7 linked regions of the Mus musculus genome follow. The main gene of each other region encodes a partner of the protein of the gene in region 6 in a complex. Links are inferred from orthologs where the notes say so. Each region holds a gene or a part of one and is shown on either strand. Other genes may lie near its edges. The genes, in order: Serpinc1, Fga, Thbd, Fgg, Serpina5, F2 and F2rl2. A codon is read from its position in the direction of its gene.

The links.
Region 1: the proteins of F2 (region 6) and Serpinc1 are in contact, whole or in part, in a crystal structure (PDB 1TB6), measured with the Homo sapiens proteins. The link is inferred for Mus musculus from reciprocal best matches to the Homo sapiens genes F2 and SERPINC1. Residues at the interface, in NP_000497.1 of Homo sapiens: Leu389, Leu390, Cys391, His406, Cys407, Tyr410, Pro412, Trp413, Asp414, Lys415, Trp455, Arg456, Glu457, Asn458, Leu459, Asn506, Thr510, Trp511, Thr512, Ala513, Asn514, Val515, Gln519, Arg541, Ile542, Asp562, Ala563, Cys564, Glu565, Gly566; in NP_000479.1 of Homo sapiens: Lys258, Glu264, Asn265, Arg267, Tyr285, Glu287, Gly288, Lys289, Glu345, Met347, His351, Ala419, Val420, Val421, Ile422, Ala423, Gly424, Arg425, Ser426, Leu427, Asn428, Pro429, Asn430, Arg431, Val432, Lys435.
Region 2: the proteins of F2 (region 6) and Fga are in contact, whole or in part, in a crystal structure (PDB 2A45), measured with the Homo sapiens proteins. The link is inferred for Mus musculus from reciprocal best matches to the Homo sapiens genes F2 and FGA. Residues at the interface, in NP_000497.1 of Homo sapiens: Phe382, Lys384, Ser385, Gln387, Leu423, Arg425, Tyr434, Glu439, Lys440, Ile441, Ser442, Met443, Lys470; in NP_000499.1 of Homo sapiens: Trp52, Pro53, Phe54, Cys55, Ser56, Asp57, Glu58.
Region 3: the proteins of F2 (region 6) and Thbd are in contact, whole or in part, in a crystal structure (PDB 1DX5), measured with the Homo sapiens proteins. The link is inferred for Mus musculus from reciprocal best matches to the Homo sapiens genes F2 and THBD. Residues at the interface, in NP_000497.1 of Homo sapiens: Phe382, Ser385, Pro386, Gln387, Leu423, Arg425, Thr432, Arg433, Tyr434, Arg436, Asn437, Glu439, Lys440, Ile441, Met443, Lys470; in NP_000352.1 of Homo sapiens: Ser424, Cys425, Glu426, Cys427, Tyr431, Ile432, Leu433, Asp434, Asp435, Thr440, Asp441, Ile442, Asp443, Glu446, Asn447, Gly449, Phe450, Asp479.
Region 4: the proteins of F2 (region 6) and Fgg are in contact, whole or in part, in a crystal structure (PDB 2HWL), measured with the Homo sapiens proteins. The link is inferred for Mus musculus from reciprocal best matches to the Homo sapiens genes F2 and FGG. Residues at the interface, in NP_000497.1 of Homo sapiens: His450, Pro451, Arg452, Arg461, Arg486, Ala489, Ala490, Leu493, Ile530, Val531, Glu532, Arg533, Cys536, Asp546, Asn547, Met548, Phe549, Cys550, His605, Phe607, Arg608, Leu609, Lys610, Lys611, Trp612, Lys615; in NP_068656.2 of Homo sapiens: Pro439, Ala440, Glu441, Thr442, Glu443, Tyr444, Asp445, Ser446, Leu447, Tyr448.
Region 5: the proteins of F2 (region 6) and Serpina5 are in contact, whole or in part, in a crystal structure (PDB 3B9F), measured with the Homo sapiens proteins. The link is inferred for Mus musculus from reciprocal best matches to the Homo sapiens genes F2 and SERPINA5. Residues at the interface, in NP_000497.1 of Homo sapiens: Arg383, Pro386, Glu388, Leu389, Leu390, Cys391, His406, Cys407, Tyr410, Pro412, Trp413, Asp414, Lys415, Trp455, Glu457, Asn458, Leu459, Asn506, Arg541, Ile542, Asp562, Ala563, Cys564, Glu565, Gly566, Asp567, Val588, Ser589, Trp590, Gly591; in NP_000615.3 of Homo sapiens: Gln241, Lys295, Lys296, Arg297, Thr368, Ile369, Phe370, Thr371, Phe372, Arg373, Ser374, Ala375, Arg376, Leu377, Asn378.
Region 7: the proteins of F2 (region 6) and F2rl2 are in contact, whole or in part, in a crystal structure (PDB 2PUX), measured with the Mus musculus proteins. Residues at the interface, in NP_034298.1 of Mus musculus: Phe379 (codon at 653), Gln384 (codon at 668), Glu385 (codon at 671), Leu386 (codon at 674), Leu420 (codon at 776), Arg422 (codon at 782), Arg428 (codon at 800), Thr429 (codon at 803), Arg430 (codon at 806), Tyr431 (codon at 1,126), Arg433 (codon at 1,132), Lys437 (codon at 1,144), Ile438 (codon at 1,147), Ser439 (codon at 1,150), Met440 (codon at 1,153), Lys467 (codon at 1,234), Pro470 (codon at 1,243); in NP_034300.3 of Mus musculus: Thr46, Phe47, Glu48, Glu49, Phe50, Pro51, Asp54, Ile55, Glu56.

What each region holds. Positions count from the first base shown.
Region 1 is NC_000067.6:160,999,083-161,002,582, forward strand, and holds the end of Serpinc1 (antithrombin-III isoform 1 precursor), read left to right. Parts: intron 1-906; coding exon 907-971; intron 972-3,204; coding exon 3,205-3,381; 3' UTR 3,382-3,458; downstream 3,459-3,500. UniProt on the Homo sapiens protein: Most important serine protease inhibitor in plasma that regulates the blood coagulation cascade. AT-III inhibits thrombin, matriptase-3/TMPRSS7, as well as factors IXa, Xa and XIa. Its inhibitory activity is greatly enhanced in the presence of heparin.
Region 2 is NC_000069.6:83,024,782-83,028,952, reverse strand, and holds the start of Fga (fibrinogen alpha chain isoform 1 preproprotein), read right to left. Parts: upstream 2,801-4,171; 5' UTR 2,739-2,800; coding exon 2,685-2,738; intron 432-2,684; coding exon 303-431; intron 1-302. UniProt on the Homo sapiens protein: Cleaved by the protease thrombin to yield monomers which, together with fibrinogen beta (FGB) and fibrinogen gamma (FGG), polymerize to form an insoluble fibrin matrix. Fibrin has a major function in hemostasis as one of the primary components of blood clots.
Region 3 is NC_000068.7:148,405,389-148,409,353, forward strand, and holds the start of Thbd (thrombomodulin precursor), read right to left. Parts: upstream 2,801-3,965; 5' UTR 2,559-2,800; coding exon 825-2,558; 3' UTR 1-824. UniProt on the Homo sapiens protein: Endothelial cell receptor that plays a critical role in regulating several physiological processes including hemostasis, coagulation, fibrinolysis, inflammation, and angiogenesis.
Region 4 is NC_000069.6:83,013,140-83,015,556, forward strand, and holds the end of Fgg (fibrinogen gamma chain isoform 1 precursor), read left to right. Parts: intron 1-998; coding exon 999-1,168; coding exon of another isoform or gene 1,169-1,204; exon of another isoform or gene 1,205-1,578; intron 1,579-1,695; coding exon 1,696-1,710; 3' UTR 1,711-1,917; downstream 1,918-2,417. UniProt on the Homo sapiens protein: Together with fibrinogen alpha (FGA) and fibrinogen beta (FGB), polymerizes to form an insoluble fibrin matrix. Has a major function in hemostasis as one of the primary components of blood clots.
Region 5 is NC_000078.6:104,099,765-104,103,912, forward strand, and holds the start of Serpina5 (plasma serine protease inhibitor precursor), read left to right. Parts: upstream 1-1,348; 5' UTR 1,349-1,495; intron 1,496-1,904; 5' UTR 1,905-1,917; coding exon 1,918-2,530; intron 2,531-3,379; coding exon 3,380-3,650; intron 3,651-3,965; coding exon 3,966-4,113; intron 4,114-4,148. UniProt on the Homo sapiens protein: Heparin-dependent serine protease inhibitor acting in body fluids and secretions. Inactivates serine proteases by binding irreversibly to their serine activation site. Involved in the regulation of intravascular and extravascular proteolytic activities.
Region 6 is NC_000068.7:91,626,458-91,629,957, reverse strand, and holds part of F2 (prothrombin preproprotein), read left to right. Parts: coding exon 1-8; intron 9-639; coding exon 640-807; intron 808-1,124; coding exon 1,125-1,298; intron 1,299-1,454; coding exon 1,455-1,636; intron 1,637-3,500. UniProt on the Homo sapiens protein: Thrombin, which cleaves bonds after Arg and Lys, converts fibrinogen to fibrin and activates factors V, VII, VIII, XIII, and, in complex with thrombomodulin, protein C. Functions in blood homeostasis, inflammation and wound healing.
Region 7 is NC_000079.6:95,695,510-95,699,719, forward strand, and holds the start of F2rl2 (proteinase-activated receptor 3 precursor), read left to right. Parts: upstream 1-1,410; 5' UTR 1,411-1,554; coding exon 1,555-1,618; intron 1,619-4,210. UniProt on the Homo sapiens protein: Receptor for activated thrombin coupled to G proteins that stimulate phosphoinositide hydrolysis.

The sequences.
Region 1 (3,500 bases), on a different chromosome or scaffold from region 6:
CAGGGTTTCTCTGTGTAGCCCTGGCTGTCCTAGAACTCACTCTGTAGACCAGACTGGCCTCAAACTCAGAAATCTGCCTGCCTCTGCCTCACAAGCGCTGGGATTATAGGTATGCACCACCACGCCCGGCATAAGGTCAGCTTGATTTAGAGAGTAAGTTTCTGGATAGTCAAGGCTACACAGAGAAACCCAGTCTTAAAAAAAACAAAATAAGCCAGGCGTGGTGGCACACGCCTTTAATCCCAGCACTCGGGAGGCAGAGGCAGGCAGATTTCTGAGTTCGAGGTCAGCCTGGTCTACAAAGTGGGTTCCAGGACAGCCAGAGCTATATAGAGAAACCCTGTCTCAAAAAACAAAACAAACAAACAAACAAAAAACAAAAAAAAAGAAAAGAAAAAAAACAAAATAAGTAAGTAAATAAATAGTTAATTTAACTCAAGTTGTCAGGGTTAGTGGCACATTCCCTTACCCGATGAGCAATCTCATTGGCCCGCAGAGCTGGGTTCAGTGGCACACAATTGTAATCTCAGCCCTCCAGGCTGGGGCAGGATGACAGTTTAAGGCCAGCTCAGGCTACACAAAGATCCTATCTAAAAATTACTTAGACTTAGGTAATTAGATTTTTCTTTATTGGGCTATCTTTAGCTTTGAGAGCCAAACCTCTTAAAAACGTTACCATACTGGAAAGACATATTTTTGCTAGATATAGTAAAGTTTTTGAGAGGAGAGTCCCACCCTTCCACCTTCTCAAAAAAGTTGACATCAGATTAAGTTCACAAGATCCAGGTCAAAGAAGCCAAAATGAATCAGTTTTTAAGAGGTATCCATTGAGGGGGTGAGGGGTATTATTAGGGAGGCTCAGCAGCCTGCTTCTCAAGACACAGCCCCCCCTTCTTGTTCTTCCAGGGATCGTTGCTGGAGGCAGGGACGACCTCTATGTCTCCGACGCATTCCACAAAGCATTTCTTGAGGTGAGTTCAGTTCCCTCCACCCGCTGCCTTTTTTTTTTTTGCATTTTATCAATCTGTGTTCCTGGAGTTTCTTGCTGCTCTTCTGGTGGAGACAGCTGGTCTATTAGCAGCAGAGGATTGTGGCAGAGGCATCTCGGCAGGGTCCCTCTAAATCATGTACATATGGAGAAGCTTGTAGCCTCCGCCATGAGGTCTGCCTCAGGATGGCACTTCAAAGGAGCCCTCAAGCTTTGACTGTTTGGCCTTCTCTCCTGCTAGAGAGACATAGAGGGTAGCCCAAGGAAAAGGAGCCAAAGGAGCCGGCAAAGGCCATGGAGAGGGAATTCTGAGATGTTTCAGGAATGTGAAAAGCATGGAGTAAGACTGAAACCGATTCTGGACAGAATGGGGAGGGACACGTGCGTAAGTGAAGAAGGTGAAGAACAAATGAACATAAGACAGGGGGTTGCTAATGAGTATGGCTCACCTTAGCGTCAAGGGCGTTCTAGAACAATCTTGATATATAGCATTTCAGGAAACTCAGTTAGGTGGGCACATGTTGATCTTCTTGGGAGATTAACTACACACAGTGGTATGCTGAGACTGAGAAGTCCCAGGGAGGAAATGGGTAGAGCACTGATGAGCCTGTCTTCCCCCAACTAAGGTGCACATAGAATTGTATGTTAGCCAAGTAGTGACAGGTTGTAGAAATTCTCGTTCTTAGGTACTGAAGTGTGGACCGTAAAGGTGGGGATCCTTAACCCTGGAGGCTGAAGGATGGAATCTAGGAATTTTTTTCTTTTTTCTTTTTGGTTTTTTTCGAGACAGGGTTTCTCTGTAGAGCCCTGGCTGTCCTGGAACTCACTTTGTAGACCAGGCTGGCCTCAAATTCAGAAATCTGCCTGCCTCTGCCTCCTGAGTGCTGGGATTAAAAGCGTGCACCACCGCTGCCCGGCGAATTTTTTTTCTTTTTGTTGATTTGTGTTTTGAGAAAAGTTTTCTTCCTGTAGCCCTGGCCATCTTGAAACTTGTTGAGAATCTGTTTCTTAACACAGATCCTTGGGAGATTTTTATAAGTAGGTTCGAGGTCCAGTGGTGTAGGCTGTTCTTCGTGGAAGCTAAGACTGTGAGCAGAAGGGCCAACGATAGACAAAGCTAACAGGACTTGGGTTTGCAAAGAAAGGCTGCAATTAGAGAGAAATATCCAGAGTATGGTGCCAGAGAACTAATTCTAGGATCCAAGCAAGCTTAGTGGCAACTTAAGGAAGCAGAAGGTGAGGGACAGGAGGTGAGAACTTGCTGAATTGCAACTTCACATCACTTAAATTTAGTCCCAGAATGAGCATGAAATAGATGTGGGACACCAAAGGGAAGGAAAAAAAAAAAAAAACCCACATTAACCAGCCCCTCAAAACACAGAGATTGCAAGTACTTTATTAATAGTCAGGGACAGGAGGCCAAGGCAGGAGAATTTCCACAAGTTCCAGGCCAGCCTTGTCTATATAGAACATTAAAGGCTAGCAAGGTGTACACACACACACACAGAGGCCAGCCTGGTCTATACAGAACATTAAAGGCTAGCAAGGTGTACACATGTACACACACACACACACACACACACACACACACGGGAATCAGGATCTTAAATGGCAAGCTAGCCTCGGTACTAGAATGCACAGCAAGATCCTACCCCCGACAGGTCAGTATGTCAACAGTTGTCATTTTCTGAAGGCATCCCTTCAGATGTGCCATTGTTCAAATGCTGAGTTTTTTTTTTTTTTTTTTTTTTTTTTTTGGTTATTACTCCAAAAAACCCACCTCACTTAACTGGAGAACTATCTTTTCATAAGCCACAGGTTCTTGGTGGCTTTTGGGGGGTGGTAGTGATAGCTGGGATTTCTTTATGCTTTGAGAGTGAATCTATTTAAAGTGCAGATCTCCAAGTTTGAGTCTGAGTTTTCTCTTCGCAGTTGGTTTAAAACAATGCACTGTTGCATTCGACAATGTTTAACCATGCTACCAGAATGTGACTTCTAGCTCAGGGATTACACTTGTGGCATTCTTGCAAGGCTTTGGATGAGCCCAGTGCATTGTACACACTGGAGGTTAAGAACAGTAGGTTTCTGGAGGGAACCATTTGCGTCCAGGTGTTAGTTACTAGAAACCAGCAGTGTGAGCGCTGGGTCTGGGTGTGATTTATGTGCCTAGGGTGGACTGGAGGGTAGCTAATATTTGTTTCCTATGTGACCTGCAGGTAAATGAGGAAGGCAGTGAAGCAGCAGCGAGTACTTCTGTCGTGATTACTGGCCGGTCACTGAACCCCAATAGGGTGACCTTCAAGGCCAACAGGCCCTTCCTGGTTCTTATAAGGGAAGTTGCACTGAACACTATTATATTCATGGGGAGAGTGGCTAATCCTTGTGTGAACTAAAATATTCTTAATCTTTGCACCTTTTCCTACTTTGGTGTTTGTGAATAGAAGTAAAAATAAATACGACTGCCACCTCACGAGAATGGACTTTTCCACTTGAAGACGAGAGACTGGAGTAC
Region 2 (4,171 bases), on a different chromosome or scaffold from region 6:
AACAGGCCATAGGTGAATTCTCAAATGAAGGTCTGCTTAGTCTTGCATGATGCTCTGGGAATTGTGTAGTCCCACTACTCAGGCATCCCATATGTTTATCCCACCAGAGACCCGATGTAACTAGACAATGTCCTTCGATTGGTTTCCTTTCCATTTTTTCTAGCTATGTTACTGTTAGATGATCTCTGGTGGGGAGGTGTCTCTAGGACCCATTGAATATATATATGTAGAGAGAGAGAGAGAGGGAGAGAGAGAGAGAACAGCATAAGGAAGGTTCCTTGTTCACCGTGTGCTCGCCTTACCCAGTCATCATCAGAGCAGAAGGGCCAGTCTGAGTCCTTGCATTGACTCTGATGTCTCTCCACAACTCTTGGGCCACGTACTCCTCCTCCTTCTGATAGGAATTCACCTTTATCTTCGGTATCTGTAGTCTTTAAGGGTTTTCAAAACATTCAAAAATGAGCGGAGGCAACAATGTTAGCCAGAAGAGACTTTGTCATGCTCACTAGCCCCAAGGGAGAAATGGCAGACATTAGGAGCCAGTACTGCTGGCTTCCACAGGCTGCCAGTTTCTTACAGTCAAAAGGAAATTCTACTTATTTCACGGAGTCATTATGAGAAGCAAAGGAGACAAAGGGTGTGAATTTGTAAGACTGTATTTGATGCTAGGTTAGCATCTGCTAGATGGTAAGGGTTTTAAAAGAAAAATGATCTGGATTGAAAGCATCTGTGAAATTTCACCTTTATCCTTTCTTTCGTGACCTCAGATGAGAAGATAGCTGAAACATTCTAGGTTTTTTTTTTTTTCCCTCCCTGAAGTCCTCTTTCTGAATGTAAAAACCTATGCCCTGTTGCACCCATGCTCCTTTCTCCTTCAGGTTTCTATGGTAACCCTTGGAGATGGTCCATGATCCAGACAAACAGTTATCAAGTACACAAATGTGGGAAGTGAAAACTTGGCAATGTTTTGTAGTACAATCATGCAATTGTAGATTTTCATTTGAAATGAAAATAATAAACAGTTGAAGCAGTAGTCAGCAACCAGCAATTTTTGGAACACCTTATAATTAGAAACCTAGAGCTAAAAGTTCTCAGCTATAACCCAAATGAAATACAAAACATTTTGTCCCATAAGACTTCCTAGTCTAACGGGTCGAGATGGCTTCGAGGCGTTCATCGCCTCCGCTCTGCACTGCCAACTTACAAGGGACTTCCTGTCACTATGTTAGTTTGGGGTAGTTTTTCCTTATAATTAATCAACATGGTCTCATTCTCATTTGTGAAAATTCAAATAATCCTAATTACCATAATTAAAGCAGCGAAGAACAACTCATTTAAAAGAACGAGTCCTTTTGTATAAGAAATATAATGGTAAATTCAATTGTATGAGTAAAATAGCACAACAATGAAGCAGACAGAAAGTGCACATAATAATGAGACAAGGAAGACAATAGAAGTACAAATTACCCAGAAATATCGCCTCAGCTGGTTATTTTAGTTTAATTCCCTCCAAAATGTATTGTTCTTTACTCTCTGATATCAAGATTTTTGAATGGTGAGCCAAAAAACCCACCACCACCACCACCACCACCACCACCACCACCACCACAAAAAACACCTGAAATAATATACAGCCTGGGTAACTAATTAGGATGTCACTAGGTCCTTGGTCATAGTTGACATGTTTTATAAACTAGAATGTGTCAGAAACTCCAGTAATTTAGATTTCTTTCTTTTGTTTTTCTTTGGGGCTTAATTTGGGGAATGATGTCAGTATTTAGAAGTTATCTGAAAAGAACACGAATCCTTCCAAAGAGCCCACTGCCTCATAACTAATGTCTTCGGAATTTGCTATACGTTTTCAAAGGCAATTAATTTGCCCTCTTCCTTTTATGTCTTCAAAAGGATATGAAAAGTTCCTCTTAGGGCTGCGGGTGTAGAACGCTTGCTTGGTCAGTACAGAGAAAGCTCTGCTTCATTCCTCAACATGACAACATTACAAAACTAAAATATTACAAATAAAACAAAGACTAGAGGTAAACCATACTAAACCCCAAACCTTCTGCTCATTACAGACAAATGTCTGGAATTACCAGCTGGAGAACAGTTCTTACCCAGTGTTTTGTTCTGTTAGAATGATGTCTCTGGAGTTTAAAGGGACAAACATGTGGAGGGATTCAGGAGGCTGGCAGTGTAGCTTAGTTGTAGAGAGCTTTACTGCCATGCCCAGGGGTTCTCAACCTGTGGGTCACGACTCCTTTGGCAAACCTCTATTTCCAAAAATATTTACGTTATGATTCATAAAAGTAATAAAATTAAGGTTAGGGAGTAGTAACTAAAAACAATTTTCTAGTTGCGGGTCATCACAACATGAGGAACTGCATCTAAGGGTTGCAGCATGAGGAATTCTATGCTGGATCAATCCCCAGCAACCGTGAGAGTATACTAACACACAGCTGCAGTTTTAAAGACTGCATCTGAATCAGCCTGAACGACAGATGTCAAGATCTCTCGTTATCCTAGGGCCTCCCTCTGGACATCACATTTCCCCATACACTTGTCAGGCTCATCTAAGAATTTGCCTCCCTGGCCTGGCATTTAAAAAGCTAAGTACAAAGGACTTGTAGACTCTGAACTCAGGGCTCCTTGCGGAAGAATTAACAGAGAGAAGAGAAAGCACATACCCAGACTGTGCTGGCCACGCTCAAGATGAGGCAGGTGACCCTCAGGGACAGCATGGTGTCTGCGTTTAGGGATGGCTCATGAGGAGAACTGGAGCTGAAGCGAAGGAGGACTGACTGCACTCACAGCTCCAACCCTACTTAAACCGGCAGGAGGTTAATCATCACCCTTGGCCCACTCAAGCAGCCAAAGCTCACAGTGTGTCCTGTGCTCTGACCATAATAACCAAGGTATCCCAGAAACTCTTGCTCAATTCTCTGTAGCTTGTTTGTTTCCGATAAGTTGTTGCAAATGGTAGCATTTGATTGTGCAGTCAGCAGTTGGGGGGTGGGGGGAATCTACATTCCAGGAAATGGGGGCCTTGGAAGCTGGGGAGATGAACACAGTTCACACCTGAAGGAAGTAAGAGAGCAGCCAGGGCACTCTGGCTATCACTTCTGTGGAGCAGAGACATTGGACTGTGTGTGGGATTCAGAGTTCATCTGAATTTCAGAATGACCTGAAAGCCTACAATAAGCTTATGTTAAACGGGTTGTTTTCCTCCAGCCAGAGGTCAAGACAGTAGCTGCTGGCGACCAATGCCAGCATCCACAGTCCTAGCTCCAGCTTCCTGGCTCTGAGCACTTATGAAGGTTAACTGTCCATCCTTGGGAATCAGTCTCCTCTCTTAAAGACCAGGGCAAAGGCAACATCCTACACATGTTAGTAAACAAATGGGTGAATTATTTCAAGGCCTCCCGAGGAGTGGTTGTCACCACGGCCTGGGAGGAAGTGCTGGCCATGATTGGAGAAGTACATGGAAAATGTACTGTACTTCCTGCCTTTGGGCTTGATCTCTCTTCATCTGCTCTTCATTTCCATGTACAATTCTTCTGGACTCAGTGAAACTTCTGTGTGACCCAACCACGCACCCACTAATATTCCCCCCCCCCCCAAAAAGCAACAGCTGGATTTTGAACAGAATATTCATTGTTCACAATTCCACACTATGGAAGCAGCCTCAGACAATGGATGAATGGATAAAGAAAAGGGGTGGATACAAGAGATTATTGTTCAGCCTGTGAAAAGAAGAAATTCACACATTTGGGGAAATGTACGGGAGCCTTGAGGATATCACACTAAGCGAACGATGTGACTTCACTTCCGTGTGAAACCTTTAATGTGCAACTCAAGAGACTGGGACACAGTAGTGGTTTCCTGGAGACGAGAAATGAGGGAAACAGAAAGGAAGAAAAAAGAGGAAAAGGGAAAGATAATCAAAGAAGGTGATGCATATACTAATGAGCTCAAAGGGGTGGTTATTTCACATCAAACATACAGCACTTTTACATATCAGTCACGGTTCAATAAAATGATTAAAAAAAACCCTTTGACTTAAGTGTGCTGTATTTAGTAATAAACACTGAGAATGAGCAGCCAAATCTGAATCTCAGACAGACAACCAATATATCTTAGTGTATGCATGTCTTCTGCCGTGTTTGGAGTATGC
Region 3 (3,965 bases), about 57 Mb from region 6:
ATAACACTGTAGAGCCTGCATAAAAATCTTAACAATAATGACCTCTTTTGTCATTCCCATTCAAAACAACAGCAACAATCATAAAACCCAGGCTCACCCTTTCAAAAACAAAGATTTCAAAAAAAAAAAAAACCCTACTTCCTTAAGTTTATTTTCTGTGACATTCCAGCACTATTGACTAGTTAGTGTTCAGCTGAAATATTTTAGCTTTTGTTAAAATTCTTTTGCTTTGGTTACCTGAAATTTCTGACTAAATACCCAAAGCCAGTGAAAAAGAACGTTTTCTGCTTTTAGTGTTTCTTTTCTGTTTCACATAAGAGTTTGGAAACAACGGTAAGGGCAAAGTTATGATCAGGTTTGGGGAGGAGAATGACAGGAGGGGGGGAATGGAGGGACTGAGAAAGCTGTGGGGGGCTGGAGACTTACAAGCAGAAGAAAACTGGAGGGAAGAAAATACTAAATACTTTAAAAAAAATAAATATCTGGGTCATCTCCAGCCCATGGGGTCAAGGTTTGCCTTCAAGCCTACAGATCAGCAGCACTAGGAGGTGAGGTGAGGGACTGGGGTACTCTGGGATCTCCGCTGTATTTGCCACCTCCGCCCAGTTGTCCAGTATCTACTTGGAAGAAACTGGGCTGTCCTGCTTCAAGTCCTCCCTACCCTCGCTTGTCCTGAGAGGATGGGCTCTTCTCTGGTTATTATACCAGCCAGGGTGCTTTTAAGTTGCCAGAGAACACAGCTGGGAGGCTGGAGAGAGAGAGAGGAGAGGAGAGGTACAGAGCCCGGAAAGACAAAGGCCACCTGGGTCTCTGGAGCAAATCCCTCAGAACTTCTGCAGCGTCCGATCAGTCCTGACGTGCTGCAGCACTACCTCCTTGGCGGAAGATGCGCACTTGTACTCCAGCTCTGCACGAGCAGCGCCCTGCTTCTTGCGCAGGTGACAGAGAAGCGCCAAAAGCGCCACCACCAGGGACAGGCTGGCAATGGAGATGCCAATGAGCACGCCAGAGTGCACTGGCCTTGCAGAAGGGGGACCTGTCGGAGAGCCTGGCGTAGGGCTGACTGGAGGCTCCCCAGAGCCCTCCTCTTCCTTGGTGTCTTCCCTAACAGGGATGGGGTCACAGTCTTTGCTAATCTGACCAGCAAGGGCTGTGTCAGGCCCGCAGATACACTCATAGGAGCCAGGGAAGTTTCGACATTCACTGGTGAAGCATTCGCCTTGACTGCACTCATCAATGTCCGTGCATACGGAACCCTCGTCCAGGATGAAGCCTTCAGGGCATTCACAAACAGTAGGAGAGTTAGGGTCACAGTCTGCTGGGCACGAAGTTTCATTGCAGAACATTTCGCACTTGTGCGGTTCATCCGGCTTGGGTGCGAAGCCTGGAGCGCAGATGCATCGGTAGTCGGTGGGGCTCACTGGCTGGCACTGAAACTCGCAGTTAGATCCGAAACACGGATCCAGAAGCTCCACGCACTCTCCATCCACCAACTCATAGCCATCATAGCAGAAGCATTCGAAGCCGCCCTTGGTGTTAACACAGAGCTGGGGACATGGATTGGGCCCCTGCTTACAGTCATCCACGTCCTCACACCGGTGTCCGTCTGCAGCCAACTGGTAGCCTGTCTCACACATACAGGAGTAAGAGCCTGGCACTTCAGCGTTGCTGACACAAAAATGCTCGCAGAGTTCGTTGCACGATTGAACCACAGGTCTTGCACACGAACGTCCATCGGCCTGCAGGTCCATGTCTCTGGGGCAGAGGCATCTGGGTTCATTCGTGCTCCTATTGCACAAGTACTCACAGCCACCATTCTCCACGCTGCAATTCCAGGCTCCTGTCGCTTCCCAAGCCCAGTGTCCCTCTGAAGTTCCGGGCGGGGCCCTGCACACCAGCTCCAAGCCAAGGGGCTCCACCGCGGCGGAACTGCCTACCGGCAGCGTTTGAAAGTCCGCACCACTGACCCCGAACGGGGTGTTGTAGGTACTAGAGATGTGGGCAGCCTCAGGATCGCGAGTATTCACCGTCAGAGGCCTGCAGGAAGCTGTGAAGTAAAACTCACAGAGGAAACCCTGGGTCTCAGTCTCGCATGGCTTCTCTTCCCAGGCCGGCTCGCCGGGTGCAGCTTCAGTTGCTGTCGAGACCGTGACGCACAGAGGGCCGCAGAGTGGAGCCGTCTGGTCGTTGGGCCGCGCCCACCTGCTGTAACTGGTGTGGTTATCGCCAGTAACCCACTGGAAGCCGCGCAGGGGCCCGAGATGCACCGGGTCGTCACAGCCCTGCGGGAGCTGTAAACCGATCCAGGGCCCTAAATCCATACTGCTCTGGCTCAGCAGAAGGGAGATGACATCGGCAGCCACTGAGGAGCGCACTGTCATCAAATGTCCTTGCAGGCGCTGGCAGGCCTGGCTGGCATCGAGGAAGGTCGCGGGGCCCTGGAAAAGCGCGAAGCACTCATGCTCCACGCATTGACTGCCTGTGGGCTGCAGCTTGGCTAGTGCGGAGAGCCCCAGGCTAGCTGGAGCCAGCACACCCAGAAAGAAAATCCCAAGCATGCTGTCCAGGGGTGCACCGTGCAAGTTCCGAGAAAAGCTAGCCCTGCGCTGGTGCAGACACCCAGTCCAGGCAGAGGGGTTTCCGTATGCCTGCGGCGACAGCAGCTAGCCTCTATCACAACCTAGACGTTTCTAGCCCAGGCTCCTAGTCCCTGCGAGGCAGCCTCTAACATGCCACTCCGCTGAAGCTCCAGTTTATAAATGCGCGGCCCTCCCTCTTTGCACGTTCGGGAAAAGGAAGGAAGTGCCTGGTGGGAAGGGCTGATGCTGCGTTCTCGGATTACTGGGTTCTCCGGACGCCTTGCGCCCGCCCTCCAGCCTGGGATCACCTCTGCGCGATGAGTTAAAAAGTCTGTCTGGGCGTTGGGAGGCCCTCGGGCGTGGCCTGCAGGCGCCACCACAGAACAGAACTGTGTCAGCAAGACGACAGTTCCTGCCCCAGACTCTCCGGTATAGCCCGCGGGTAGCCTGTGTTTAAACCTCTACACACGTACACACACTCAGACGCGAACACACACACACTCACACTCACACTTCCACATAGATGCTACCAAAGTTTGGAAGATGGTCCGGTTGGTGGGGCAGGGAAAAGAAAAGTCCAGTAGAGGTGTGTCTGAGACTTGCAAGACTCTGAAAAAGGTGAGCTAAATGCAAGGCAGGAACTCAGGAAGCCTGGCTGCATTGACAATCGGAGGTTTAGGTCCCAAATGACCTTGGAGGAGGCCAGGGGAAACAATACTAGGGCAGCAAGAGGAGAGAGTGGTCTAATAACCCCAAACCCTTCTCCAGTCTCCATTCCTCTCCTGTTCTGAGCAGGCATCTCCAAGGCCAGACCCTATCTAGTTGCTTGAGAACATCGTGCAAGTTTTGTCTGGGCTCAGAGATCATGGCCCCCTTTCCCAGTTCAATTCCTGCAGAATCCTCTGGGGAAGGTGTGTTGCGTTCCTTTGTTCTGGTTTGTTTTGTTTTCCTCCAAGCCTATCTCAGACCCCTCAATGAAACTGGCCCCGGGGTGGGGAGGGGGGGAGGGGGCTTTGCAAGGAGACTGTATGAGCTACAATAGAGCCTACTTGGTTCCTTTTGACGTGATCATTTCCATCGTCATTTGAGAGTCTCAAAAGATAGAGGTGCCTACACAATCCGTTTGCTCACAAAGGGCATTGAAGAGGAGTGTCTTGTGGGCAGCTGGGAGGGGAGGAAGGGAATCTGTCACTTAAGACTTTTAGATGCTAAGCACTCACCAAGAATGTGGAGGGCTGTGTTCAAATCAAAGCTTAGCCACCTCCTCCCCACCTCTCTCATCTGCCTATTCCCCAAGCGTGCGCGTCATCACACACACACACACACACACACACACACACACACACACACACCAAGAGGACCCTGCACTCCGTGGCAGTCACTTCC
Region 4 (2,417 bases), on a different chromosome or scaffold from region 6:
GTCTTTTATTTTATCACTCTTCATTTGAAATCAGAATTGGATACCACTCATTATCCAACTGGCATTATCTTTAATAATAGTAAGCTTTTTGCCTACGGTGGTTACCTCCATAGGTCCCCCAACTCCTAGGAAGCATCAGGGTTTTGATATTGCACTGAAATTCTTATTATCTCAGCTGGAATTTGGGGCCATGGTGTCTCTTTTGGACCTACCATGTATATAATGTAGATGAACTAGCACACCATGCCTGTGCTTGTGGATGGATACATTACCCTGGCTCAGCTGTCTGTGAACTGTATGTCAGACACAGCAGTGGGCAGTGGATAGATGTCAGAAGAAATGACGTGAGAGGCACAAATTTAGTAATAAGAGTGAAAAGTCACGGAAGCCTGGGTGAAGGGTCTAGACCGGGGATTGCAGGTGCTTGTTTTAGCATGGCGGGGGTGATGGTTTCTGTAAGGCTGAAGGAGTTTAGAACACTGATTCCACTCATCACCTAGCAGTTCTGTATGGAGAGACTCCAGGGATACTAAAGGATCTTTTAAGAAGTTCTGGAATGTGATCCCCATCTATTGATGAGAAACTTCATGGTGAATGACTTTCTAGAGAAACTCCCTAAAGCCCTTGATAGCATTTTCCGTTAGCCAAACAATTATGTTGTCATGCGCTGTCAGACAAACTGATCAGGAATCTGTGGCTCCTATCACAAATTCATATACTCTAAGGGAGGTGGGCAGAGAGAGAGAGAGACAGAGAGAGACAGAGATGACAGACAGAGACAGACAGAGAGGTGTTCTAGCCCTGACAAAAAAATGGATAAATTTTAAGTATTGACATGATCACCAAAATTGCTTATTGGCTTTTGGAATCAATCTCTAGGGATGTTGTCAATTAGGAGGAAGTGCTGTAGACTTCACGGTAATTCGAATTGAACTTTAACCAGCTAAGGAAATGTAAAGGAAAAAACGACCCATGCATGTGCCTCTGGCTCCTTGCAGGTGGTACTTACTCAAAATCATCTACTACTAATGGTTTCGACGACGGCATTATTTGGGCGACCTGGAAAAGCCGCTGGTATTCTATGAAGGAAACCACCATGAAGATAATTCCCTTCAACAGACTCTCCATCGGAGAAGGACAGCAGCATCACATGGGGGGATCCAAACAGGTCAGCGTGGATCATGAAGTTGAAATTGAATACTGATCAATCATCTGCCTGGAAGTTTTTAAAATAGATATAAAAAATTAACTATTAACTCCTATTGGCCTGTACAGAGTTCCAATGATTTCCTCAATTTTTCTTTACTCTATTTATTAATTTTTGTCTTTCTTAACATGATACCTAGCCTTAAATGGAAATTAAAATCTATTTGAACCGTATTTCTAAATTACTTGAGTCAAAGTTATTAAGTATTGTTTATTCGAAGAGACAGTTTGTTTGACCTTTCCTCTAAACATTAAAAGTAAAACTACTGTTCTTTGTTTACTTTATAATCAGCTGTAATTATTGTTTTGTTTTATTATTTCTTGAGTATTTTTAGTATATACTAATAAAATAGGAGAAAATTATAGAACTTGACCTGTATATTTTTCTCATGTTATTTTATCTCGACATCATTAATATTTAATTCTTTTTTACGAAATAAAACAAGTTATATTTTTTAATATATCTTTTGTTTTATTATATATTCATAGGCTGGAGACGTTTAAAGAACATTTCAAAGCTGGTTTGCTTTTTTAAAGGACTTTATCCAAGCAGAGAACTATACTATTTTTCCTATGGGACAATGGACTTTCAGGACCTCACTTCATTTTCAGAGTTAATGGGATCCATGGTGCAAACTCCATTAGCAGTTTTATGCTGGCGATAATTTATCTACGTGCATTGCAATAAACATTTCGTTTCCTAAGATGAGACATTCCGTGGCTTTTTTGAAAACCCTTGGAAAAGCATTGCTTTCCCTCAATTACTGTTAGTTGCCGAGTTCACATGTTATGGCTACATAGTATCCAAGCCCAGGGGAGCTGGAGGGAAAGAAAAGACATGGCTCTTACCGTCCATGGTTCTTACCCTCCAAGGGGTATGAAACACTCAGAATGCAGCAGCTCAGGATGATGGATGCAACAAACTAATGTTCGCTATAAGAACATAAACACAAGTCACAGAGCCCCAAGCATATACCCAAGGCACATCATAGACTAAATACACACTGCTAGAGTAAGCTATTGGGAGATTCTTTGAGAGGAACCTTCAGCTCCAAGCTCCTGTAGCCAGTATATCACACAGAGCTGTTATTTAGAGCAGGGAACTGAGAGACAATCTGTTCGTCTCACGGGTGAGCCAGGAGGTGAGCAGAAGGAACCAATTACTTGTTCTAGGTGGGAGTTATTGAGATCTCGGGGCCTTGACTCAGCTA
Region 5 (4,148 bases), on a different chromosome or scaffold from region 6:
ATAACTTATGCTATTTTTTATGCTATTTTTACTTTTTAAATAACATGTAAAATAACTTTATTTTTATAACGTTTTCTATTTTTTTTAATATCATGAGACCTTTTAATAGTCATGTAGATAAACCTCCTTTTTGTTTTTTAATGTAAAACTGGTTGGGAAAGAGTTTTCAGAGCAGTTATCTCTCAGGCAAAGGCGGGTCAATGATGGACTGTTGTGCCTAGGAGACTGGGCTCTTTGTAGTCTGAACCTGGGTTCTGAAATCTGTGCAGCCACTGTTGTGAGTTTTGACTGTGTCCTCAACATGCACACACACACACACACACACACACACACACACACACACACACACCACATAGGCCCTCACCCCACAACCCCTATACCTATCCTGTACTGGGGAGAAATCTAGCAAAACCAAGCAGGCTGTTTGTTAGGGTAAGGATGCTGAAGTTTAGCTCTCCATGATAGCTGGTTCCTGGTGGTTGTGGAGGTGGACAGACTCACTCATCTTTAAGGAGCTGGCCAGCAGGAGTTTGACCATGTTCTGGCGAGTATATGGACAACACAAACTGGACTTGTTTTTTCTATCTTTGGGGGCAGTGGTGCACAAGAGGTGGGGAGCGGGCCTGGGGGGCTGGGAAGTAAGGGTAATGGGATACATTGTCAAATTCCCAAATAACCAATAGCAATATTATGTTAAGAAGACAACTTTACTATCTTTTGTTTCACTCTTGAAGTTTCTACCCCTTTCTTCAGGTGGTCTCTCTGGGGATACTTTTTAATTTTTAAATTTCTCTATGTGTTATGGCCATATTTACTCTTTTTCTCATATTCAGGCGTCCCTGTTTAGTCACTACTTGACTTGGACCATACAGTCATTTTTTTTTTGTAACAATGCCGAGGGGGGAGGTGGGATCAGGAGGCCATAAGCTAGAGAAGATACAGTTAGGGATCAGGAAGTCCAGCTTTCACATGCTGGATCTTATACCAAGCAAGCTTCTTTTAAAAGTACAGTATCTTATATACCAAGTCCAGGTAAGAGATGAGACAGAGTCAGCAGAAACTGCCACACAATGGGACAAAGCCAGAGGGAAGCTAATCAAACAATGTTGCGCAAGGAAAACATGATATCTCAAGAACATTCCAGACTGAGCACACGGCAGCCTTGGAATTGATGACACCAGTCTCTTCAGGGGAAAAAGCTAAGTCCCAGGAATAGAAACCTTAACAAGTTCAAGGCTCCAGCCTCGGGCTCTGGCTGGCATTGCCAAGCACATTCTTAGACAAAGAAACAGAAGTACATTTATTCTGTCCTTTTATCGGGGACCCTACGAAAATCTTAGATCAACCCAGCTCCCAATGAAGCAGAGCTGGAGTGGGGTGGAGACAGAGTCTCTGCGGTCAGTGACATTTGCCGGCTGCAATTCCTCTGCTCTGCTCTCTGTCCTCTTGTAAGCCAGGTGGACTATACCTTGACACTCAGCCACCACGATACAGAGTGAGTACACCTGCTGGGGTAGGACCTGTGGCATTATGGATGTGTGTGGGTGTAACATAGCTGAAGCCAAGGAACCCTGCGAATGAGGCATAATGCAAAATCCTAAACTTACTTAAAATATTATGAGGAAAAAATGTTTTGTTTTTTGTTTTTGATTTTGATTTTGTTTTAACTCCATTGCATACCGGTCTGTAAGTCTACCTTGAGCAGTTAGTTGCCTGCTTCATCTGATCGTCCCAGAGCACTGAGTACCACTGCTTCTCTTTACAGCCTCATGGTCTAGTTTCCTTCTTACCCTCTTGGAGGGGACATGGGGACATCTTTGCAGATGTCAGCCTACTCATTGTGTCTCTCACTTTGACTCACAACTGTTCCCTCTCCAAGAACATTTTTCTCTTCTCCCCTCCAGAGCTGTCACCACAATGAGGTTCTTCCCCATTCTGTGCCTGGTGCTGTTCATCAGCCATGGGGTGGCTTCCCGCCGACACTCCCATTCCAAGAAGAAGAAGGCTAAAGAGTCCTCGGTGGGTGCTGTGGGACCTCCCAGTAGCAAAGACTTTGCTTTCAGACTCTACAGGGCCTTGGTTTCTGAATCCCCTGGTCAGAATGTCTTCTTCTCCCCCTTGAGCGTGTCTATGAGTTTGGGCATGCTCTCCCTGGGGGCTGGCTTGAAGACGAAGACCCAGATCCTAGATGGCCTAGGCCTCAGCCTCCAGCAAGGCCAAGAAGACAAGCTCCACAAGGGCTTCCAACAGCTGCTACAGAGATTCAGGCAGCCTAGTGATGGCCTGCAGCTGAGCCTGGGCAGTGCCCTTTTTAAAGACCCAGCAGTACATATCCGGGACGACTTCCTGAGTGCCATGAAGACACTGTACATGTCAGACACTTTCTCTACCAACTTTGGGAACCCTGAAATCGCCAAGAAGCAGATCAACAACTATGTAGCCAAGCAGACCAAGGGCAAGATTGTAGACTTTATCAAGGATCTTGACAGCACCCATGTCATGATAGTGGTAAATTACATCTTCTTCAAAGGTAAGCCTTGGGCTCCAACTTGAACTTTTTCCTCTTTTCTGTTTTTATTAAAAGATAGCATTCCCTCCCTGATAAAAGAACAAGCCACCCAAGTGCCAGCTGGGTAGAAGGAAAGCTGCCTCATGGGAGACAGAACCTGCTTATCAGCCTGTCAGTGATTCCACAGTCAGGAGCTGGTCTTTGTCATAGACATCATGACAAAACAACCCTGACTGTCAAACCCACTAGAAACAGGATATGGATCTGATCAGGGCTAAGAAGGCAGGAAACAGGAGGGGTCAGAGGCTACTGAAAGCAAATGTCTGTTGCCCTGCCAAGACACCATGGCCAGGACATATTATTGAAGAAAAAATAATCACGTTATTAGGATTGGCTTATAGTTTCAGAGTCTATGACCATCTCAGTAGGAAGCACGGTAGCAGGCAGACAGGTGTGCTGCTGGAGCAATAACTGAGAGCTTACATCTGATCCACAAACACTCAGCAGAGAGGCAGGAAACTGGTGAGAGTGTTTGAAACCTCCAAGCCTTCTCAATGTCGTACCAATAAGTGCCTCACCTCCTAATCCTTCCCACAACAACTCAACCAACCAGGGACCAAGCATCCAAACATATGAGCCTGTGGGGGCCATTCTCATTCAAACCAGGAGGAAAGGAGGACAGGCCCATAAAAGGTTCAGGCTACCCAGAACTTTGAGGGGATTTGGCCTCTGGGGCCAAGGGGTGTGGGTGCTGCTGTTGTTGAGGTTGCTCTGTAGAGACACTCTTTGGATTGTCTCCTTTCTACAGCCACAGCCAAGGGTCTCCCATTTTTACTCAGTTCTCTTTAATTCCTTCTCCTTCATCTTTAGCCAAGTGGCAGACGGCCTTCAGTGAGACAAACACCCACAAGATGGATTTCCATGTGACCCCCAAAAGGACCACACAGGTGCCCATGATGAACCGTGAAGATGGGTATTCCTACTACCTGGACCAAAACATCTCCTGCACGGTGGTGGGGATCCCTTATCAAGGCAATGCCATCGCTCTATTTATTCTCCCCAGCGAGGGCAAGATGAAGCAGGTGGAGGATGGCCTGGATGAGAGAACATTGAGGAACTGGCTTAAGATGTTCACCAAAAGGTACTCTCTAGGCCATCTGGGGGCCACATCCTTCTACCCATGTCAGGAAGACCTCACAGTACTACTGGAAAGGACTCCTCAGGCAGTGAGCTAGCTCCAAACTTAAATGTTACCCATCAAGTCTTCAGTCCAGGACATGACCCAGCTTGAGGGATAGCTGAGGTTCTAGGGTGACACCAGAGAGGGAAGCTCAAGTAAAGTACAAAGCAAGGGAGACTCCAAAGAGGAAGGTTCCAGAAAGTCAGTGACGCTGCAGCAGAGAGTGGCAGCAGCAAGCTCATGGTGTCTAAGAATGACCTTCTGTACTCTCTCCAGACGCTTAGATCTTTACCTCCCCAAGTTCTCCATTGAGGCTACCTACAAACTGGAAAATGTCCTCCCCAAGCTGGGCATCCAGGACGTCTTCACCACCCATGCTGACTTGTCTGGCATTACTGACCATACCAATATCAAGTTGTCTGAGGTGAGTCTAGAAGCTCCTGAGCACCTGATTTCAGA
Region 6 (3,500 bases):
GCCCCCTGGTGCGTCCTGGACTGATCTACAGGCCTGCCCCACCCACGGCCGCTGCAGGACCTGGCTCCACAGATGACGCTAGCACCCACTCTCTAATTTCCCCCAGAGCTACCTCAGCCAGCTTTGCCATGTCTGCCGAGTAATTGTCAGAGATGAGGCCAAGCGAGCTTACGTGACTCATCCTCAGGCACGCTGCATAGTCAGGACTGTATCCAATTCTGATCTAGAGCTGTGCTAAACTATACGGTCTACCCTGATAGAGCTCTGGTCTTCTACGGCAGCCAAATCAATCCGAGATTTGAGCCCTGGAGGCAACCCTGTCCCACTATCTGTCTTTCTTCCTTTTCTTCCTTCCTTCCTTCCTTTCTTCCTTCCTTCCTTCCTTCCTTTCTTTCTTTCTTTCTTTCTTTCTTTCTTTCTTTCTTTCTTTCTTTCATCTTTACTTTTGGGGCGAGGGGAGGTCTTATATAGCAGAGGCTTACTTCGAACTTCTGATGCTCCTGCTTCCACATCCCAAGTGCAAGGATTACAGGCTTGCGACACCATCCTAGCCCAGTACTCTTCATCTAAGAGCCTTTCCCATTTCCAAGGCTGTTAGGGGCTGGGCTCCAGCTCCTAATGCACTCTGCTTCCCGTTAGGCAGGTGATGCTTTTTCGGAAGAGTCCCCAAGAGCTGCTGTGTGGGGCCAGCCTTATCAGTGACCGATGGGTCCTCACTGCTGCCCACTGCATTCTGTACCCACCCTGGGACAAGAACTTCACTGAGAATGACCTCCTGGTGCGCATTGGCAAGCATTCCCGAACCAGGTATGAAGCAAATGCCTGCTGGTGATTGGCTGGGTTCTGAGTGCTCATCGGGGGCTCTGGAGGCTCTGGGGTACATGGGACCCACAAGTATGAGCTTTCAGCATCCTCACTGGGCAAGCCCGTATGGCCAGGCCCTGGCCCACTCCAGACAGGAGAACATGGTCCAGGTGGAAGTCTCTTTAAATTGTGACTATTGGAGCAGTACATGTAGCATGTGCCTATCTCTGTGGGCCCACATGACTCAGAAGACTGTGTGTGACCGTGCTCAGTTAGCTGAGGATCTCATGAGTGGTTCTTCTCTGTTGGGGTCTGCACAGATATGAGCGGAATGTTGAAAAGATCTCCATGCTGGAAAAGATCTACGTCCACCCCAGATATAACTGGCGGGAGAACCTAGACCGCGATATCGCTCTGCTCAAGCTAAAGAAACCTGTACCCTTCAGTGACTATATTCACCCCGTGTGTTTGCCAGACAAGCAGACAGTAACCAGGTCAGCACTAGGGTCTCAGTTGTGATTTGGCCTGGGCTCTGAACCTTGGGGCCTGACAATCATTTGCAGGGTTCAGTTCCATGGTATAAATGCAAAAGTCATTTTCTAGAAGGCTGTCAGGGACAATTCTCATCAGGTCCTTCTCTCTCCCTAAAGCTTGCTCCGGGCTGGTTATAAAGGGCGGGTGACAGGCTGGGGCAACCTTCGGGAGACATGGACAACCAACATCAATGAGATACAGCCCAGCGTCCTGCAGGTGGTGAACCTGCCCATTGTAGAGCGGCCAGTGTGCAAGGCCTCCACCCGGATTCGAATTACTGACAACATGTTCTGTGCTGGTAAGGCTTTCTGTCTTGGGCTAGGGAAACAGCTGGGATGGGGGTTAGCAGGCATGTGGTACAGGCACAAGCCCGGGCACTTACAAGTCAGAAGACCCCAGGTAAGTGGCTGAAGCTTTTCTGAAGGTAAAAAGAACATAAAAGTTTTCATGGTGTTGAGATCTGAGGTGTGTGTGTGTGTGTGTGTGTGTGTGTGTGTGTGAGAGAGAGAGAGAGAGAGAGAGAGAGAGAGAGAGAGAGAGAGAGAGAGAGAGCAAGTGAGAGAGCAAGTGAGAGAGAGAGAGAGAGAGAGTTTTGCCAGTGATCATTAATATCTGCTCAACGAATCTAGCCCAGCAGAAGTCCTGGGTACAGAAAGAACATTCATTTAGCCACTTAGCATACATTTCTTGAATGCCTATTGTGTCCTAGACAGCACTTGGAGGGGTACTCAGCAGGAACTCAAATAGGTGGTCCTGAGAAAGCTGCCTTCCTAGAGGGGGGCTATGCCAATAAACATATCTAGAATGCATGTCCTTGATAACAGCTCTGAGGAGAGAGCAGAGTGAGGGAGACTGTAAGGGACGAGTCAACTAAAGCCAGTGGTCAGAGGGGCTGGCATCGGCCTTTTCTCAAGCAGGTTAGGCAGAGATGGGAGGAAGAGGATGAGGAATCAGACACAGAGGGAGGGTCGAAACCCGGCTTTGGGAACAGATGTAGGTGCAGGGATGCTGAGGTGGGCAAACACTTGGTTGACCTGAGGAACAGCAGGGAGGCCTGTGGGCTTGAAGAGCAGTAAACTCAGTGATCCCACGGGGAATGAGGTGAGAGAAGAGGGCCAGGTGTAGTGGTAACATCTGTAACATCAGCACACAGGGAGTGGAGGCAGGAGCATCATGTGGAACTAGAGGCTCATCTGGGTTACCGTAGATCTCTCCGAAGGCAGAGGCAAGGGGGACTCTCTTAAGCTACAGGGCAGTCAGAACTCAAGGACCTTTGGAAGAACAGTCAGTGCTCTTAACCACTGAGCCATCTCACCAGCCCAAATCCCAACTTTATTATTACTGTGGTGTTGCAGATTAAATAGAGGGCCTTGAACTAGGCAACTGCTCTAACACTAAACTATATCTCAATCCCAACTAAGTCTTAAGATTTTGGATTTCAGGGTCCCTTTGTAGTTTAGTATGTTAATAATTAATTGTGATGAAGACTGTGATTGTATGGAGTTTATTTTTAGTAACTCATTATTTTGTAATTATTGTTTCATTTGTCATCTTATTTTCCCTGTGTTATGTTTGTTTTTAAAAGTTATGTATTTAGGAGAGTGTGCATCTTGCTCTAGTGTTTATCTTTCCTTTGGGCTTATGCTACTCAAGATGCCAATCCTTCCTTCCTACTTCCCTCCCTCCCTTTCTTCCTCCCTCCCTCCCTCCCTCTTTCCCTGTATTGTGTGGATTTTTTTTTAAAGACATGGTCTCGTGTAACCTAGGCTTGAATCTACTATGTCGTTGATAGCCTTTTTGGTTTTTTCGAGGCAGGGTTTCTCTGTGTAGCCCTGGCTGGCCTTGAACTCAGAAATCCGCCTGTCTCTGCCTCCCAAGTGCTGGGATTAAAGGCGTGCGCCACCACTGCCCGGCTTGTAGCTGATAACCTTGAACTTATGATGCTTCTGCCTTTCCCAATCAATCCTCATCCAGGGCTGGGATTACAGGCACGTGCCATCATGCCCAGTTTATGCAGTTTGTGAGGTACTGGGGATCCGAATGGCTTCATGCACGCTAGGCAAGCACTCTACCAATGTACAGTACAGGCTGGTCTTGGAATGTTAACAGTGTCACCTCAGCCTCCTGGTTACAGGTGCCCCGCACACCCATACTGAACCTTT
Region 7 (4,210 bases), on a different chromosome or scaffold from region 6:
AATATTTGCCAGGCCTGAGGATGTAACTCTGTTGATAGAGTCCTAGAAGCCCTGGGTTTAGTGTCCAGCTCCACAGATCCCAGCAGCCCAGAGGCAGCAGGAGGTGGCCCAGGAGCTCAACTGCATCCTGAGTTCAAGGCAAGCCAGACTATATGAAACTCTGTCTCAAAGAACAAAATAACAAAATAAAAGATGGAGGAGGGAGGGTGTATTCGCTTCTCATGATTAATTCAGTTTATAACTATGTGATCAGTTTAGGAACTAAAATTTGAAATAAAGCACAATTTCATTTTGATTTTTGAAAAAGAAATTTCATGTTATATTTTGATCGCTTTTCCCTCTCCTCAACTTCCAGATCCTTCCTACCTCCCTAACGCCATACCCTTTCTGTCTATATTTAAACAAATAATAAAAACAGAAACAAGAAATGCATACACCAAAGCCCACAAAAGCATAACAAAATGGAAACCCAAATATACAAACAAAAAGACCATTAAGGCAGAAAAAAAAGAAAAAACAAACAAACAAACAAACAAACAAACAAACAAAGCAGTAGGAGATGAAAAGTCTGCAAAAATCCCACTGAATTTTCTTTGTGTTAGCCAACCACTCCTGGGTGTAGGGCCTACCTTGACATGTGCCTAGGGCATCCAGGAGATTCCATTGGAGGAAACCACTCTTTCCTTTGCCAGTGGGTATCAACTGCAGAACTTTCTGGGTTAGTGGTGGGAGCCCCAGTCCCCTTCCCCTCTCAGCTCTGGGACCCTCCTTGGCTTGAACCTGTGCAGGCCTTGTGCATGCTGCCTTCTCTGTGAGTTCATATGTGCACCAGTCCTGATTTATCCGGAAGACACTGTTTCCATGGAGCTATCGATCCCTTTTGGCTCTTAACAATCTTTTTGCCTTCTCTTCCGCATAGATCCCTGAGCCTTGAGGGGAGGGGCTTGATGAAGACATTGCATGTAGGCCTGTGCGCTCCAAAGCCTCTCACGCTCTACACACCATGGAACTCTGTGTTTGTTCCCATTTACGGTAAGAAGAGGCCGTTCTGACCATGGCGGAGTGAATGTCTGACTGTTACACAGGAGTGTAATGTCTGACTGTTCTTGTGTTAAATAGAAGGCGTAACTCTGGAGCTAGGGTTTTGGCATAGGGAATAGAACCGGGGCAGTGGAATTGATTCAAAGCTAATTGCTTCCCAGCACCTGTTCTCAGCTTTGTTTTGCAAGGGACTCTGCAGTCTCTGCCATTATTCCAAGCCCCTGGGAGAACTACAGCACTGGTTCTAAATGAAATAATGGAGGGGGTGAGGAAGAGATAAAAGGGATATGGCAACTCCTCCAGAGAGGCTCAGCCTGAGTCATGCACACAGACAGAAACATCAAGTGGCCACATCCTTTCTCTGTAGAGGCAAGGACGAGTCCCTGCCCACACAGTCCAGGCTGGCAGAGTTCTCAGCTTTCCACTTGCTGCTCATACATGGAGCTGAGGGGAATCTACGCTGTGACTTTGTATACTTAACAACATCCTGTAACCGGGTCTCAGGACATCAAGATGAAAATCCTTATCTTGGTTGCAGCTGGGCTGCTGTTTCTGCCAGTCACTGTTTGCCAAAGTGGTAAGTCCCCTTCTTGTGGTCTAGCATGGGGGTGAGAGAGTGGTGAGTGGATGGTTTCTGCTGTCAGAGTCAAATGCCCTAATTTTCTTGTTAACTCCTAGAAACTGTGAACCCAAAGACACAATTTGATCTGGTTTTAGCCTGGGGTAATATAGCGTGGAAATATTCAAGCTTGTTCCCAAGTCAAACCTTGTCAAAGACCAAGCGTTCTTCTCTACTAGTAGTGTCTCTACATTTGTGACAGAGTCAAGACTTTATGATTAAGTCAAAAACCACTTTTTTTTTGGCGTGAGAAGTGTTTGTATGTGTACAATGTTCAGATGTAGAAAAGATTGCACTTTTTCAAGGCATTAAAAAAATCTTTTCAAATTTCTAAATATTATAATTTCTGTTGAGGCACCGGTGGGAAAAAAAATACTGCCAGGAAAAGTAATTTGGTTTCAGCAGCCAGTGACATTAATCAGGGATGTGACGTGTTTCCAAGGTGAAATACCGTCTTTTCTTAATGTTTCAGAACCAAGGAGTTCTCTCTGTCCCTCACATATATATGTATATATGTCTGTGTGTATATATGTCTATACGGATATGTCTGTATACGATGTTTAGGCATAATTTGGTTATGTATAATTTTAGAAATAAGCTTTCCCAAATATAATTATTTCACTTTGAACATGTCTTCTATTGTGGTAGCTTATATAACTTCCTCATTGTTCTGAAATGAACTACTTTGAGACAGGATTGTATGCAGGACTCTGTCAGGCCACAGGGCAATCAATTAGGAGGAGGAACTGGGAAGAAACCAACTTAAACAAAAGGCAGCCGTCTGCAAAAGGAACGATCCTTAAATTGAGTTCCCTGCTTAAGGGGACCCATGGCAGGGGCGGTACAAGCACGGGTTGGCTAGGTTTATGGTTTCTCTGAGAGGAGAAGCCACAAAGCTGAGCCATGGTTGCAAGGAAATGAGTTATGAGAGGGAGTTCCTTCCTGATGCTAGCCTGCTTGGGAGACTGAGAAGTGAGACTTAAGGAGAGGTGGGACAGTGGGTTCGAAGTCTGCCTTGGAGAGATGTGAGGTGGGGTGTGTGTGGCTGAGGGCCATTCTCTTTGGATTAGACTCTCTGAAGCCTTCTCCCAGGCGGGGAGCATTTCAGAAACACTGCACCAAATGGAAACCAAAAAAAAAAATCCTAGTCAGTTGCGTGTCGTTTTATAAATAACATTGAACAAGGAGCACGATTCTGAAGGAAAGACAGTTTCTAACGAATAGAAGATCTAGGGGGTGCCCGATCTGAAATATTCGGGGAGCAGTCTCCTTTCTGTGTGTTTGTAGACACGTATCTTGCCCAAGCACAGGACTCTCCTGAAAGCTGACTAGTGCTTGGTTTCATCAGCTTTCTCATCAGACCTTGGAGGGAAGAAATTTGTATACATGGTTCTGCCAGCTTCCTTTACAGGTGTTGTTTTGAGTGATATCAGACTTGGCTTTACCCAAATGTGCACGTGCAGAAGGATTTAAGTGGCTGAGCTCAGACGTAACAGGACATTCCAATAATGCTCGCATCTAAACTCAGGCACATGGAATGCTACCTTCCAAAGTAGTCTTTCCCTGGAGGACACAGCGTCACCTTCACTTACCAGTTGTTCGGACAACACCGATTCTGCCCGCTACATTGAATTCAGCCTATGCAAACTCCCAAGTCTGGGAGAGCAAGGGCCAGAGATAAAAATCAGAAAGAGAACATGGGTCAGTCTACTGAACATCACCCTGGAAGAGTTAAAATGGGGGATGCAGGAGTTTTGTGTCCAGACCTCAGTGGGAGGGCACTAGCTTTTCGAATGGGAATGTAAAAGGCTTCTATTGGCATTTGAAGAATTGATTAACGGGAACTGGCTGAGCTGTGCCAAGCATCTAAAACACATAGCTGATATGTTTCTTTCATTTAAAAAATTCATTTTGCTGGGTGGTGGTGGTGGTGCATGCCTTCAATCCTAGCACTAGGGAGGCAGAAGCAGGCGGATCTCTATGAGTTCAAGGCCATCCTGTTCTATAGGATGAGCTCTAGTACAGCTAGGGAAATTACACAGAGAAACCCTATCTTAAAAAACCAACAAAACAAAATCATTTTAATGCCTCAGGTTATCACAGTGAGTTCATCTTTTGTTTCTTTTCTCGTTGTCTTAAACCTGGCATTTCCCTTAAGCCCATCTTGTTTGGCTTCTTCCCATATTTCTCTATCGGCCCTCTCTCTACTCCCCAAGTTAAACTACAGCCACTGTGAAGACTAAGAAAGTCACACTTCACAATTGCTCTTGGCTTTTGGGAATGCCACATCCAGTCATTCCATTTTGACCACATGGCCAATCTAGGATTCTGCTCCCATCTCCTGATTCCTAACTAAATAACCCCTTTCCCCATGGGATAACACATCATGGGTTCTAGGAGCCGGCACATGGAACCTTGGGTCGAGTGAAATGTTATTCTATCTACCCTGGTAGCCATCCCTTTGCAAATTCTGTGCACAAGGGGGAGGGGGCAGTGTGGCTCAGTGGTAAAGCAGTTTAATTACCAACATGTGGTGGCGAGGAGACGGGT